2 linked regions of the Notamacropus eugenii genome follow. The protein of the gene in region 1 purifies or fractionates together with the protein of each later gene. This does not show direct contact. Links are inferred from orthologs where the notes say so. Each region holds a gene or a part of one and is shown on either strand. Other genes may lie near its edges.

What was found. The genes of interacting proteins can lie anywhere in the genome.
Region 2: the proteins of MCMBP (region 1) and MCM3 purify together in Homo sapiens (affinity purification with mass spectrometry; 10 studies listed by BioGRID and IntAct, counting the BioPlex papers as one, with this or other methods). This does not show direct contact. The link is inferred for Notamacropus eugenii from reciprocal best matches to the Homo sapiens genes MCMBP and MCM3.

The regions. Positions count from the first base shown.
Region 1 is NC_092872.1:200,041,829-200,049,220, reverse strand, and holds the start of MCMBP (mini-chromosome maintenance complex-binding protein), read left to right. Parts: upstream 1-4,383; 5' UTR 4,384-4,785; coding exon 4,786-4,843; intron 4,844-7,392. UniProt on the Homo sapiens protein: Associated component of the MCM complex that acts as a regulator of DNA replication.
Region 2 is NC_092873.1:118,548,558-118,556,193, reverse strand, and holds the start of MCM3 (DNA replication licensing factor MCM3), read left to right. Parts: upstream 1-4,630; 5' UTR 4,631-4,865; coding exon 4,866-4,943; intron 4,944-7,636. UniProt on the Homo sapiens protein: Acts as a component of the MCM2-7 complex (MCM complex) which is the replicative helicase essential for 'once per cell cycle' DNA replication initiation and elongation in eukaryotic cells.

The DNA.
Region 1 (7,392 bases):
GAACATGAAAATGGTTTCAAGGCTTTTTCAAATAGAATCAGATTGTAATATGGCAAACTTGGAACCAGGAATGTTCTAAGGAGCTTAGAACATTTCTGGTCCAGAACCATTAACTCTGGGCTAAAGTAAAATTGTACTGGCCTACAAGTTTCCTATTAGAAAATAATTACTAATAGAGAAGAAAATGACAGTTAAAAGATCTAACTAAATTATTTTTTGTCAAGTCATCTAGGGAGCAGAATATTCTGTTTTTGTACCCCATCCTAATTTAGCCACTGCCTTTCCCCTTCTTTCTATAAATAATAACATTCTCTTTATTCCATTCAGAGTAGAAATTGGAAAAAGGCATAAGTAGTTGTTGATGGAGCAAGATAATTTCTTTTATCTCTTTCCCAGTATATCCCTCCCTTCTGGAAAAGTTAACTGGGCTACAAAATAAAAAGAATTAGAGCAATTCTATACTGATAAAAGAATTCAATGCATTCTAAGAAGAATGTAATGTACCTCTTGGAAAAAATGTAATGCTTCAGAAAGAAAATAAATTAATCATCCTGCCTAACTGCCAGGGCTATGAAAAGGCAAATTAGGGACAATCTCCATTTGTTTAATAAGACACTGGAGAAAACACAAGTATTAACACCATTGGTATAAAGTAATTTTTCAAGAGTCATGTGCTTTGGAATATATAAGATCTTAGGATCATAGATTTAGAACTGGAAGGGAACTTTGAGTCCATTAAGTTCAACCTCATCTTTTTATAGATGAGGAAAACAAAGCACAAAGTGGTTAAATGATTTGTTCCTGGTCATAGAGCTAGCAAGTGTCTGAGATGAAATGTGAAGTCAGGTCCCCTTGACTCCAGAGTCCAGGCCTCCATCCTCCACACCATGCAAATCGAAAAAAAAAAAAATGGAAAAAATCCCTGCCTTTCATATCCAACTTGTTGTCAAGGCCTGTTGATTTCATCTTTACAAGATTCCTCCAGATGGCTCTGAAGGAGAAAGTGAGGCTAGTGACCTTGCACAGCACTCCTTCGCTCAAATCAGTCAACTGCAAGTCATGTTATCATCTTGACATCATGGTCCTCTTCGAGAATGAAGGACAAACAACCTGTGAGGGAATGGCAGCTCCTCTCCCCTCCCCTCCCCTCCTCTATGTCCTGGCCTGAGGTGCTCTACCCAGGGGAAAATACATTTCCAGGGCCAAAAGCTGCCTTTTTTCCTTTGAGTTTACTGACTAGATTTCTTGCTCAAGGACCAAGCCTTAAACCCAATTCACTCTGGAGCTCAATGATTGGACAACAGATCCCCACCCACCTAGCACAGAGTGAACATAAAGATGAAATAATAACTGTTTCTCTTTTACCCAGGAACCCTGAGGGTCTTCCCCTCCCAGTTTGATTCTTTTTTTTTTTTTTTTTTATTAAAGGACGGTCTCTTGAGTAACCACTTAAAGAAGCCCATTCATTGAGTGGGTGTGTCTCAAAGTGAGAATCTGATAAGACCTTAACCTAAAATGGCCAGGGTCTCTGGTTGCATCCTAGGCCATCTCCAGTCATCCTGATGAATATCTGGTCGCTGGATTCAGATGGCTCTGGAGGAGAAGTGAGGCTGGTGACTTGCACAGCCCTCCCTCACTCAAAGCAAAGTCAACTGCAAGTCATGTCATTACCTTGATTCATGGTCCTGTTCAAGAAGGAAAGACAAACACAACCACTCTAGTGCGGACCCTCATCATCTCACAATTGGGCTTTTACAATAGTGGGTCTGCCTGCCATAGTTTCTCTCCACTCCATTCTCCATTCAGTTGCCAAAGTGATTTTTCTAAAATGCAGGTCTGGCCATGTCATTCTGCTACTCAGTAAACTCCAGTGGTTGTCTATCACCTCCAAAGACCATGCTGCCCCTTTCAATATCAGAAAAATTTTTAAAAACTACCAACAATGAAAAAAGGCACTGTTATGCAGGTTTTTCATCTGTTTCTCTGGCTAGTTTTGGTCCAAGTGGCATAAAAAGAGCCTGCACTTTGGTGAAAGAAGAGTCTGGGTGGGAATACAGTAAATCTAGTGAACAGAGAAAAATGCAAAGCTGTAACAAGGCCTGAGGAAGCTATAAAATGCAGTTAATCAGTGCTAATTTTTTGAATGATTTCAGTTCTTAGAATGCACAGTTTATTAAAAACATGCAAATAAAATTTTAAAATCTGATAAAAAAGGAGGGGAAAAAAGAAAGGAAGGTTCTGGCATATTGGGTATGTGGCAAAATTGTGGGACGACAAGTCACACAACATGAATAGGCATGAATGTGTTAAGATCTTTACTATTTAACTCTAAATGAGGAAAATATTGCCAGGCACTGTGTTAGGTGCTTGGGATACAAAGATAGAAATAAACTAATTCCATTGCTAAAGAAGTTTACATTATACTAGGGAAAACAACATGAATAGAAATAGCATTGGAATAAAAGGGAAAGAACATTGGCTTAGGGTCAGAGAACCTAAATCTGAAGCCTGCCTCTGATTCATGTATCCTTGTTACTTCAACACTTCTGTGCCTCAGTTTTCTCATCTGTAAAACAAAGGAGTTGGATTCTATCAGGGTGGGGAACCTACGGCTTTGAGATCACATGTGACCTTCTAGGTCTTTAGGTACTGACTTTTGACTGAGTCCAAGCGTTACAGAACAAATCCTCTTAAGGGGATTTTGTGAAGTTTGGATTCAGTTAAATGGCCGCACTTGAGAACTTTAGAGGGTCACATATGGCCTTGAGGTCACAGGTTCCCCACCCCTGGATTATATGGTCTCTGAGGTCCCTTTCAGCTCTAAATCTATGATCCTACAAAGAAAGCAGAAAATAAATACAAAGTAATTTCCAGGGAGTAAAAGAAGAGGCCACGAAGAGGTGGTGAGAGCTGAAGTCCTATTCTGAACAACAAAAATCCTGGTTCTTTTTGGCTCAGTCAGCAGAATGAAAAGTCTGGCCAGTACTCTCTAGACAGAAAGGAAGTGACAGTTGTTATAATCATCATAGTAATAGCTATCATTTACATAGTTTTAAAGGGTTTTAAAGTCCTTTTTACAAATCAGAGCCATTTGATGTTGGCTAAAGTCTAATCTAGCTAACTCCAGAAATATGCTTTCTTGGGTTAATTGTTAGGTGACAAATATTCAGCTGAATAGCTCTTAAAAGATTATCTGTGAATTTGTAGAAACATGAGGTATGGTGTACCTTAGCAAAATTAAGGGATCAGTCTCTTGGGATTTTTAAAGTCACTTCCCACCCCTACCATTTGGGTGATCAAAATCTCACAAGAAGTCTAAATGACATCTAATCAAAGGCATTCATTCATTCATTCATCTAACAAGCATTTGTTGAGCACCACTTAAGTATCAGATACTGTAGGTACTAAGACCATAATAGAGGATGGTCACCATCAAATAGCCCACCTTTAAAGGCATCCTTCTTTAACCTAGTCAAGGTGCCTAGGCTTTTTTCTGCTCAAATTTTCACTCACTAGGACTTTAATATATGTGTTTCTATACTTAACATAAATGTGTATTTAACATATTATGTGAATATACATGTATGTGTATATCTAATGTAGAATATACATAGTGCATAGTGTTGCACAGCATATAAGCAGAATGAGTATATATAAATTAGTGTATGTATCCGTATAGAGAAATATATGTATATATATACACATACATGTGTGTGTGTTTGCATATAAAGTGCAGGACTTCACAGCAATAAAAATGAGCCTTAATTAGATCTATTCTAACTCAGGTTTGCCATCTATGTAGCCACCCGTGAAATCTGTCTTCATTCCAGACCCCGACAAGGCTGTTGAGGAGCTTCAGTCCCTGCGTCCTTTAGGGTCACCAGCGGCCGAGGGCAGCTGGAGGCAAGCCCTGACTGCTGGACCTCCCTGTCACTAGTTCCAACGTATGGGAGGCAGGTTTCAGAGACACCAGGAGGCAGCTGGCACTGCCCAGGGCTCCTGAGAACGTGCCCGGCACTCGCGCCTCTGTGGAAGGAGCGCTGCCTCAGTCTCCCACTCTGTAGATGCGAGCTGCTTAATCTTCCCAGAGTCACAGACAAGCCTAGGGACCCCTACTCGCAACGGCCAGTCACGTCAGAGCCTGAAGGCTGGACTGAGCTGGAGGGGCTACAGGAAGGGGGCCTGCCTCTGGTGCCCCGGACGGTGGCCGCTCCAAGCCCCGCCGCGGGAGGAGGAGGCGCGGGGAATCGAGCTTCTGCCGCGGCTCTCCCCAGTCCAGCCCCGCCTCGCCAGTTTGCCCTCCTTTTCTGACCTTTTCCAAAATGGCGGCGACGGCGACGCCGCCGCCAGGGCCCGGAAGCCCCGCCCCGCCCCGCCCCGCCCCTCCTCCTAGCGCGACCGAATGCACTACCGCCCCCTCCCCAGCTCGCGCTCGGGGGTCAGAGGCGACGCCGTCGGCGCGTCCGTTTCCCGCCATAGCGTAGAGGAAGGCGGGGGGCGAGGGGGGCTCCTGGCGCTTCCGCCTCGTAGCTGCCGCCGCCGCCGCTGCCGTGGTTGCTGCTGCCGGGAGCGGGGCGAGCCCGAGGCCGGGCGGTGTCGCTCCGTGACCGCTGCCGCTTGCCCGGCGTGGGCGTGGGCGAGGGAGGGAGCGGCCGGGGGCTTGGGCCGACCCCGAAAGGAGAGGAGGAGGAGGAGGCGGTAGGACGTGCGATCGTTCCCTCTGCCCGCCGCCGTCGCCCCCGGAGCCCCGCTCGGGGCAGCCCGCTCCGCGCGCCCCTCGGCAAGATGCCGTGTGGGGACGACTGGCTGAACCATCCGCTCGGCATCGTGCAGGGCTTCTTTGGTGAGTGGGGGGCGCCCCCGGGAACCCTAGGTAATTCGGGGGAGTCCTTCCTGCCCGGAGATTGAGGAAGGGGCGACCCGAGCGCCCCCTCCCCCGCCACCCGGCGGGCGACCCCCCGGCCCCGGGGCCGCCGCACGGTTCGGGCTGCCCCCTGCGGGGGGCGGGGAGCGGGCAGGAACTTTGTCTCCCTTCCCTCCCGGGCCCCCGGGCCCCCAGACCCGGAACGTGGCCCGGGACTGGCGCAGGCCGCAGCGGGTGCCGTCGGGCTGGGCTGGTGGGAGACGGGGCGGCCGGCCCGCGGGTCCTGCACGGCTTTGCCGTTTCCTCTCCAGCTCGTTTTACAGAAGAGGAGCTGGGGCAAACGGAGCTAAGTGACTTGCCCAGGGTCCCCCGGCTAGGATCCCAGGCCACTCTTAAAGCCAGGAAGTGGAGTCTTCTTTACTCCAGCCAGGCATTCTGTCAGTGCTCTTGGGAATCGGGTAAAGTTGAAAAGGACAAAACCGGTGTGAACATTCTGCGGTGCCACAGACGGGGGCAGTGGTCGTGAAGAGAGCGGGGGCTTGTGCGAGGACTTAGGCTCAGGGTCCTGGGGAGACTGAGACAGGGTTTGTAAAGCAGCATGTAATGCCAGCTATTGCCTGGCTCACTGAGGACGTCCTTTATCGGGCTACTTCAAGAAGTAGGAAGTAAATTTTAGAAATAGTAACTGACATAAAACCCGCAAATTTGGAGATCTTGGGGGATGGAGGAATGTTGACCATTTATTTACTTTTAATTTGCGGACAACTAACTCATTTTCCCAGTCTACGACAGAATAGAAGCAGGAAACCATCACCATCTCCACGTCTCTGAGGGGCACTGACAACAGGGAGACTTAACAGCTGAAGTAAGGGGAGAAGCAAGAAATCTATTTTAAAACTGACAAATTCAAAGTAGAGTATTTGAGGCCCTTTCATGAAGGAACTTGTTGTCTTAAGCTTTTGGATCTCTAAGAGTCATTCCAATAAAGAAGTGTAATAGTTGATATTCTTAATGGTGATCCTGAGTAATTAAAGCAAAAGTTAACAGATTTATCTTTAGCATGCTGCATTTAATTAGAGAAGAAAGTGTGTGTTTCATTTTAGGATTTCCACCAAAAATGGGGTTTGTTTGTTTTTTAAGTTAGTCTTTAAATGCCTTATACAAATTATTTATTTGTATACACACACATTCTTCAAGAACCTATTCTTGTGTGTGTGTATAATATACTTATTCTCCAGGATTCTGGATAAATTAGATTGGTTACTGTGTACCAGAGATTTAGCTACACTTTGCTCAAATCATTTTGTCTTTGTCACACAGAGATATGCATTTCTCATAGCATAGTAAAGCATACAGTGTTGATATATGGTGCCATCAGCTTTATAACAGGGTTCAACAGTGTTTTTAAAATTCCATGGATTATTTATTGTGTAGCGGTTATGAATAATACAGTACTCATGCTTATTGGTCTTAGTATGTTAATAAATCAAAAGCTGGATTTTTTTGGTATATTTTGCAGTTAACACTATTGAAGGATGGCAATTTCACAGTTCCTTCTTGTGCTGTGATAAAACATTGCTTCAGTAATAGATGTTTGCTAACGTAGATAATGTGGCATGAGAATAATTAGGTATATTTCTAGTCAGTCTCTGGACAGGAGAGAATTATTTTTAGTAATGAGTGCCTAAATATAGAGTAACTATCTTTTTAGTCTTGAAATAATGATTTTTACTTGTAAGCACAAGCAGGAATACTGAACAGAAAGTTTGGATTCAGTCAAAGGGCCGCACTTGAGGTCCTAGAGGGCCACATGTGGCCTTGAGGTTGCAGATTCCTCACCCCTGGAGTAAATATGGTAATTTTTTTTCTTGGTCCTTAACCTGCAGTTTTATCACTGTAGTGAACTACATCTGCAACTTAAAAAGTTAGCTTCTGGGACTTTCCCATGGGTCACAGAGCTAGTATGTATCAAAGGATGTACCTGAACCCAAGTCTTTCCAATTCCAGGACCAGTCTACTATCTGTTATTCAATGCTTTATCTTCACATTCCTATATTTAACCCAAAAGAGCCCAGCCTCAAGAATCTGAAAGACCTAGATGCAAGAACTCTGATCCTAGGCAAGTCACAACTTCTAAGTTACCCCAGCAACTCTCTAAGATCATTAAATTGCAAAATAATAACCCATTTATTGACCTGCATTGATAGTGAGTTTTTTCCTCAATAAATGTCCTTCACTCTTTTGACATCACAGGTCTGTCCCCATCCCCCCATCTTCAATTAATGAATTTATGTCTTAAGTAGAGATTTGGGGTTGTATTTGCCAGATGGTGTGATTAATCTCATATTTAAGATATTTCCTTTAGACCTTAAAAAAAGTCATTATCAGTATGTATGATCTAGATTGAGGAAGGTATCCAAAGTTGGAAAATCCCTGTAACTCAGGTTATAACCGTTCCATTCCCCTTCAGAATTAAGTGAATTATTGCCTCAGTGCCCACATTTCTGTCCAAAATTAAAGCCTTTCTA
Region 2 (7,636 bases), on another chromosome or scaffold:
GTTAAGTGTTCAAAGTCATACAGCTAGTAGTAATGATAACATCTATATATTAGTATACTATATATACTAATATATTAGTGTCTTATATATAGTAATATATTAGTATATTATGTATACTAATATATAGTATGTATATTACTATATACAATATATTTATAGTATAGTAAAAAATATTTATATGGTACTTACTCTATGCCAGGCACTATGCTAAACACTTTACAATTATTATCTCTTTTGATTCTCACAACAACCATGGGAGGTAGGTGCTATTATTATTTCCATTTTGCAGATGAGAAAACTGAGGTAAACAGAGGTTAAGTGACTTACCCAAGATCACACAGCAAGTATTTGAGGCTGAATTTGAATTCAGGTATGACCCTGGGCCCAGCTCCATTTGAAACACAATGTTGTTTTTTTTTTTAAAGCCTGTTTTTTCACAGATATATTTCAAGAAACCATAAAAAAAAAAATAAATTGTGCCAGCTTAAAAAAAATAAAAATAGACATGGACTATGTAACTCTGGGCAAATCAGAGAACTATACTGATCTAGTCCTTATCTCTATACTTTCTCCTTCCTCTAGGCAACTTCCAAGATTGGAAGTTGTAAAGAAAGTACCTAAGATTATTCTCCTTATCTGGGAAACTAAATAAATAAACTACCTCCATGCTTTCTCTTTCCCTGGGAATGCTGAAAAACAAAGCGTTACATTATCACCAGTTTTCACAGTATCCAAGATCTTCTCTACCTGCTCAGTATTGTGAGCCTGAAGTTGGATTGGCCTTGAAATATACCAGGTGATGAGAGATCATAAATATGAATAAAAATGGAAATCGGGATACGTAGCAACATATTTTATTGTCCCTCCCTTTTCTTTGAACATAGTAATCAGATCAACAGTAAATAAAATTCATTTCTGCCAGCCTCAGTTTCCTCATCTGTAAAATAGGGATAATAACAGTGATGGGGTGGTGGGACCTAGATCCCAAAAAGCCCTACCACCATGTCTCTGAAAGCAACCCAGCCCCTCCTCTCCCATCCATGAGAAAATTCTCTTCTTATTACAGATACAGACAGAGTTCACCCTGTAATTCCTTAGATAAACAACAGATACAGGGGTGCCTGACCCAAGCACTCTCCCTCATGTCAGATCCCCAAGGTCCATGCCTCTAACAGCTCCCTCAATGTCTGGTATCAACAAAATTATCTCTGAAAAACTCCCTACATTTTCCATAGATTACTGACGCCTGCTCCCATGACACTTGGACCCTTTGCATTACATAATTATTCCTTTCCCATGCCCCTTTTCTATATAAGCTCTAGATTCACCCCCATTAGGTTGTAAATTCTTTAAAGGAACTCTGCCCACTTCTATTGGTATTACAATAAACTGCCTCAACCGAAGGATGGCTTGAGTGTGTGAATTCATTCCAGGCAACCCTGCCTAGGCATTTTTAGGGTCCTAGCACTCCAAATTTCATCAATAGGACCTAGGATTGTTGTGAAGTTAAAATAAGACAATATTTGTAAAACACTACAAACCTTAAAGTGATCTATAAATGCTGGTAGTAGCAGTAGTAACAGCAGCAGCAACAGCAGCATTGCCTCTGGAAAGAATGAACTAGTTAATTGCCCTAAAGATCAACTCAATATCCCTGAGACCACTTTCCTGACCAAAACATCCCTTGGCTACCATTCTCCTATGTGTATTGTTTCACCCTATCACAGGAATTCTAGACCTTTTTTGTATCATAGACACCTTTGACAGATTGGTGAAAATTTATTGACCTCTTCTCAGAATGTTTTTTAATATATTAAAATACACGGGATTATAAAGGAAACCAATTACACTGAAGAAAAGTTATAATTTTTCTCATCCAAATTTTCAGATCCCGTGAAATCCATTTATGGATCCTATAGGAATTGGTGGACCTCAAATTAAGAATACCTGCTGTGTTGGAATATAAACTCCTTGAGAAAAGAAGCTATTTCACTTTTTATATATTTGTATCACTAATGCTTAGCTCTGTTCCTGGTACATAGTAACCATTTACTGATCTTTTCATTCATTTATTCATATCTCATCTTGTATAAAACTGTAAACAGGATCTTGATTCATGAATTGGTTTTTGTTCTCCAGATTGCAAATGTAGAAATCAGACAGTAATCAGATATTAGGCTTTCAAACCATAGTCTTACAGCTAATCAATAAGACCTTAAATATGCAATCATACAGATAGGTTTTTAAATATTTCATAGAAATTAGCTCAAATGATCTTTACAACAACCCCATGAGGTACAATAGATATAATCTACTGTTCAAAGGCCATTTTGTAGAGTTTTATGCAAATAGCCTTTGAGCTACAGGTTACATAGCTCTCAATCCCTCTGAGATGAGGAAAGTGTACTTGGAATTAGTTTAGTTAGGAAGGAACAGATAGTGAGTAGCCGAGCAAGGACTTAATTCTAGTATCCTTCATGTTTGAACTTTGAAGGACAAAAGTATTTATTGTTATATAACTGTAGAAATTGAATTTTAATGAAAGGGTAAACTGAGGTAGATCTCAGAGCAAGGTCATGTTACCTGTCAATAAATGGGTCAGTGGATTGCCTCCATTAATGCCAAACACCTGGAGCAAGAGGACAGATCTTCTTAATACAAGGTTTTGGAAATTACAAAGAGGAGGGTAGATGACATCTTGGGATCATGATTGGTCAAAGAGTTGAGGCACAGGGAACAACATGATTGGTAGGAAATTTGGTAATGGGGGCTAGCATTGACCCCTCTTCTCCTCTCATGATACTAAGAGGTGTTTATTGTCTGAGTGCAGGTGTGGGATAGTGGCTCAGCAAACTAGACATCCTTGAAGGAAAGCTTGGTGGAGTAAGAGTGTCAAGCCCAAACTTCCTTGCATTCTCACACATTCACCAAGATCAGTTAAGTTCCTTGAGGCAGGAGAGCTGTATTTTTAAAGCTAATCTGTTACAGACCAGCTGAACGCTGAATTCAGTTCAGAGACAAAGAACCATGATTGAAGCACTTAGGGGACAAAATCAATTAATTGTAAATAGGATCAATAAGAAAATAAGACAGGATCAATCTTAATCTCCTCAACTTATAGGGATAAATAGCATGAAGCTTACAGAGCACATATTAATAATGTATCCAGGTATTTAAAACATCCGCTATCATCATCATCCTCATCACTAAAGTTTACGTAGTGCCTACTATGTTTCGGGCACTGCGCTTTAGAAACACGTTGTTGTTCAGTCATGTGGACTCTTTGTGACTCCCTTTGGAGTTTTCTTGGCAGAGATACTGGGGGTGGTTTGCCATTTCCTTCTCCAGCTTATTTGACAGATGGGGAAACTGAGGCAGGCAGAAGTTAAGTGATTTGTCCCAGGGTCACACAGATCGTATGTATCAGGTTCTACCTGACCCTATCCAAATGCGCCACCTGCCTGCCACTACTTAGAACTGGAAGGGACCTTGGAGACTTTGTCCAATCCCTTTATTTTAAAAATGAGGAAACAGAGGTTTAGAGAATTTGTGCTTTGCCTCAGGTTACATAGACTGAATTTGAACCCCCGTCTTCCTCATTCCAGCTCTAGCACTCTATCTCCGACACCACGGAGAGCAGCTGCGTGATGGATGTGAGAAGATATTTGCTTTTCATCGATTCTTATACTGAATCAGTCTTGTGATAGAGAGAGAGGAATTTCTGCCTTTCATTCGTATCGGCTGCAGAAATGTGGGAAGACCACTTTAACTCTCGGTGCCCAGGCTGAGTGCACATTACAGAAATGTTGCCCGATTATCCGTGAGGGCAGTTCTGCGGACCTGTGAAATCTCCCGAGTGTGTTGGTAAATGTTGAACTGTGTTTAACTGTGCGTGTGCGTGTGCGTGTGTGCGTGTGTGTGTGTGTGCGGGTGTGTAATGTGCTCATCATTTATTTATTATTATTAAATAAACAAATATTATTTATTTATTATTATTTTTAAATCTGCATTGTTTGACTGTACAAAACTGAAAACAAAATAATTTTTAAAAAATGCATCGTTAACATTCCTTCATCTCTGTCTTGAATTCTAGACAATCAATAAAACAGATCAAGTCCTTCATCTGGAGCATTTGCCGATTTCCAAGTTATTCAGCAGCCAGTTCTGCGGGTAAGGAGCTCGCTCCAGCACATCTCTGGCCGTGTCTACCTGATTAAAACAAAATTAATCAATGATCGTCACTTTTTTTATGTCCCTTGATACCCCCTCTCCAATGTAATATAACATCATTCCCAAACTGTTATAAAAGAAGGCGCAGAACAAGGGATTGACTTTCCCGGTCACAAAGTGAACACAAAGGCGCAGGTGAGACTGGACGACTCGACACAGATAATGTTTTTGTACGTTACCCAGAAGGGAAACAGCTTGAAAGCAAGGTAGCACCAACCACCCAGACTACTAGATTTCTATCATATGGACTACAATTCCCAGAAAGCAACGCGACGTATTTTCGTTGCAGTCCCAACCCTCGGGAGCTGAAAGTCACAAGCTCCGCCCATCGCGCCCTCTGGATTGGCCAGTTACGTTCTTCTTGACTTAAGGGCGCAGGGGAGGGGAGGGGCAAATAGACATCTGTAAGTTTCCCGCCATGAGGACGTATCGGAACGCCAAGGGGAGGAAGGAGCTGCCCATTGGGCACACGTTCTTCCGCCCGCGGAAGTTGCAGCCAATCAGAATCCAACCTGCTTCCGCAGCCGCCTAGGAAGTAACTTTGGGTGGCGGGAAAAGTGAAGTAACTTTCGCGCCTGGGGAGGAGTCAGCGCTGGGGGAGCGAAGAAGCGGAGTCCATTCTGCAGTCTGGAAGCATGGCTGCCACCACCGTGATAGACGATGTGGAGCTGCGGGAGGCGCAGAGAGATTACCTGGACTTCCTGGACGACGAGGTGAGGGCTCCGCGTGTGTGCGTGCGTGTTGGGGGAGGAGGGGGTCAGGGGAAGGCCGTGTGGCCGTTGGCTCCGGCGGAGGCGGGCGCTGGGCAGGGAAGAGGCCCGAGGAAGAGGAGGGTCCTTCTGTCTTCCTCTCGGCCGGCTTGGTTGGAGGGAGCGGGGTCCGGGCCGTAGGTGCGAGCCCAGGCGGGTGGGGGTGGGTGGGAGGGCTCGCCAGGAGCCCTTCACGCCCCCTGTCCCGGACCGTGTGACCCCCCAAAAGCTAGCGTGGGTTAGAGTGAAACCGTGGGCTTCTGTTGGATTCGGGGTGCCGGGATGCTCCAGGCTTTGTTCTCTCGGGGGTGGGGCCGGACAGGGGGTGGGGCTGGGTAGGGTCCACCTGGGAAAAGTTCTTGTCTGCGATCTTTGTTGTAGCCAAAACTAGTCTGGAGCTTCTGGCACCAGACACGTGCGTAGTGACTCGTGTCGAATGGAAATAGTTCTTGAAAAATTTCTCGTGGCATTTTTTTGTTTTTGGCATAGACAGCTGTGAACATCACCATCTAAAGAGAGGGAGCACAGACCTCCCAGACGCTGGTGTGCTTTTCCAGGCTGGTGTTTGTTTTGTTTTTGGCAGGGAGGCAGGGTGGAGGAGAAGATGCTTGTCCTGGGTGTTGTGTTTACTTAATCCAGATAAATAAGAAATCATGTTTATCTGTCAAGTGGATTAGCTTGTCCTGTCGAGATGGCTCCCCCACCTAGGCAGTGCTGGTTGACGAAGACTGTCTTCCTGTAAATAACGGGGTCTATCTGATTTCTCAGTAAGTTGGGAATCAGTACATGAAGATCCCTAAGGGGATAGCCTGGCCCTAATACTTAAACCAGGGGAGGATAAAGTAAAGAGAACTATACATCAGTATCGTTAATGAGTATTGGTTATAATTTTAAAAATTTTTAGCAAAAAAAGTGGTACTATATAAAAAAATTAGTCATTGTGAACAAGTTAGCATTCTACTATGGATGCAAGGATGATACAGAATTAGAAAAGCAATTAATAGTCGTTCATATTAAAAACAAAACCACTGTAAACTACAGGATTGTATGAATAGATGCAGGAAAAGCCTTTGAGGAAGTGTATCATTTATTTATGCTAAAAATTCTACGTCATAGACCTTGAAGGGTTATTTTTAATAATGAAATCATTTCTAAAATCATTTGCAATGGGAAAACACAGAAACTTTTCCTTATTCCATGTTAGGTCAGAAGATAAAGGATGATATTATCTAAATTAATTTGCAGACTTAATACTTTGCCAAATCAATTACCAAGGGGATACTTGACAGAGGTAGGCAAAATAATAATAAAAATCATTTGGAGGAATGAAAGATTCAGAATCTCAAAGGAAATAATGAAAAAAATAAGAGTGAAGGGTATTACTTCTAGACCTTTGGTTTTGCTGTGAAGCAGTAATCATTGAAACTATTTGGTATTGGTTAAAAAAATTAGAAAAGTAGATTGATAGAACAAATTGAAAAAAGAAGAATGAAAAACAATTGAACTTAATAACCCAGAAGAGATAAATTACTTGATAAAGAATTCCATATTTGAAAGAATTGTTGGGAAAACTGGAAAGCAGATTGGCAGAAATTAAATCTAGAGCACCATCTTAGACAATAATAAGGTAAAAATGAATGTGCAACTTGAATGAAAGGTAATACTCTAAAAGGCAAATGAAAGGTGATATAAAAATTTAGATGACAGGTTAAGTTCATTTCACTTCTGTGACTAGGATAAGAAGATCTTCCCCCCCCCCCCCACCAAACATGGAAGGAGTATACAGGTGATCATATAACATAAAATAGATAAAACCTTTTTCACAAAGAAAATCCATGTAACTTGGGTAAAAAGGAAAGTGTTGGATTGGGGGAAAAGCCTTTGCATTACCTATAGAGATCTCTAAGGGTCCTGGATATACAAAGAACCAATGCAAGTACGTCAGGCCAAGAATCATTTATCATTCGATATGATCAAAGAATATGAACAGTTCTTAGAAGATTTACAAGCTGTTAATGAACTTGTGAAAGATTATTTCAAGTCATTAATAACAAGAGAGATGAAAGTGAAAGCAACTCAAATTTCACTTCACCCAGGAAATTGGCAAAGATCACAGAAGATGCAAATAGTCCATGAAGCTGGGCACATTAATACCTTTTTTTATGGAACTATATATGGGTCAAACTGTTCAATAAAGTAATCTGGAATTCAAAGAAAGTGACTGAAATATTCCTACCCTTTGAGAACCTCCTGGGTACATACTCTGATGTCAGTGATAGAAAAGCACATATACCAAAAACATAGAAAGTAGATAATCATCAAGTAGGGATTGGCTAAACAAATTGTTGTATGATGAATGTAATAAAATGTGGACATGTAAGAAGTGTGATTTGAAGAATGAGAAGGTTAAGGTTCCAGAATGAGATAAAGCAGAACCAGGAAAACAACCTCTATATCTATTTATATATAGTGTAATGGTGTAAATGGGAAGAAAGATAATAAAATAAAAGTAAGAGATAATAAAAAAAGAAACTGAATGCTATATAACATAATGATTAAAGCTGGTCCTAGAGCAGAGATTTTTAAAAATTGCCTCCTTCATAGAGACTTCATCCAATTCCAATCATCTTAACCTTCCTCCACCTCTTGAAAAGGCA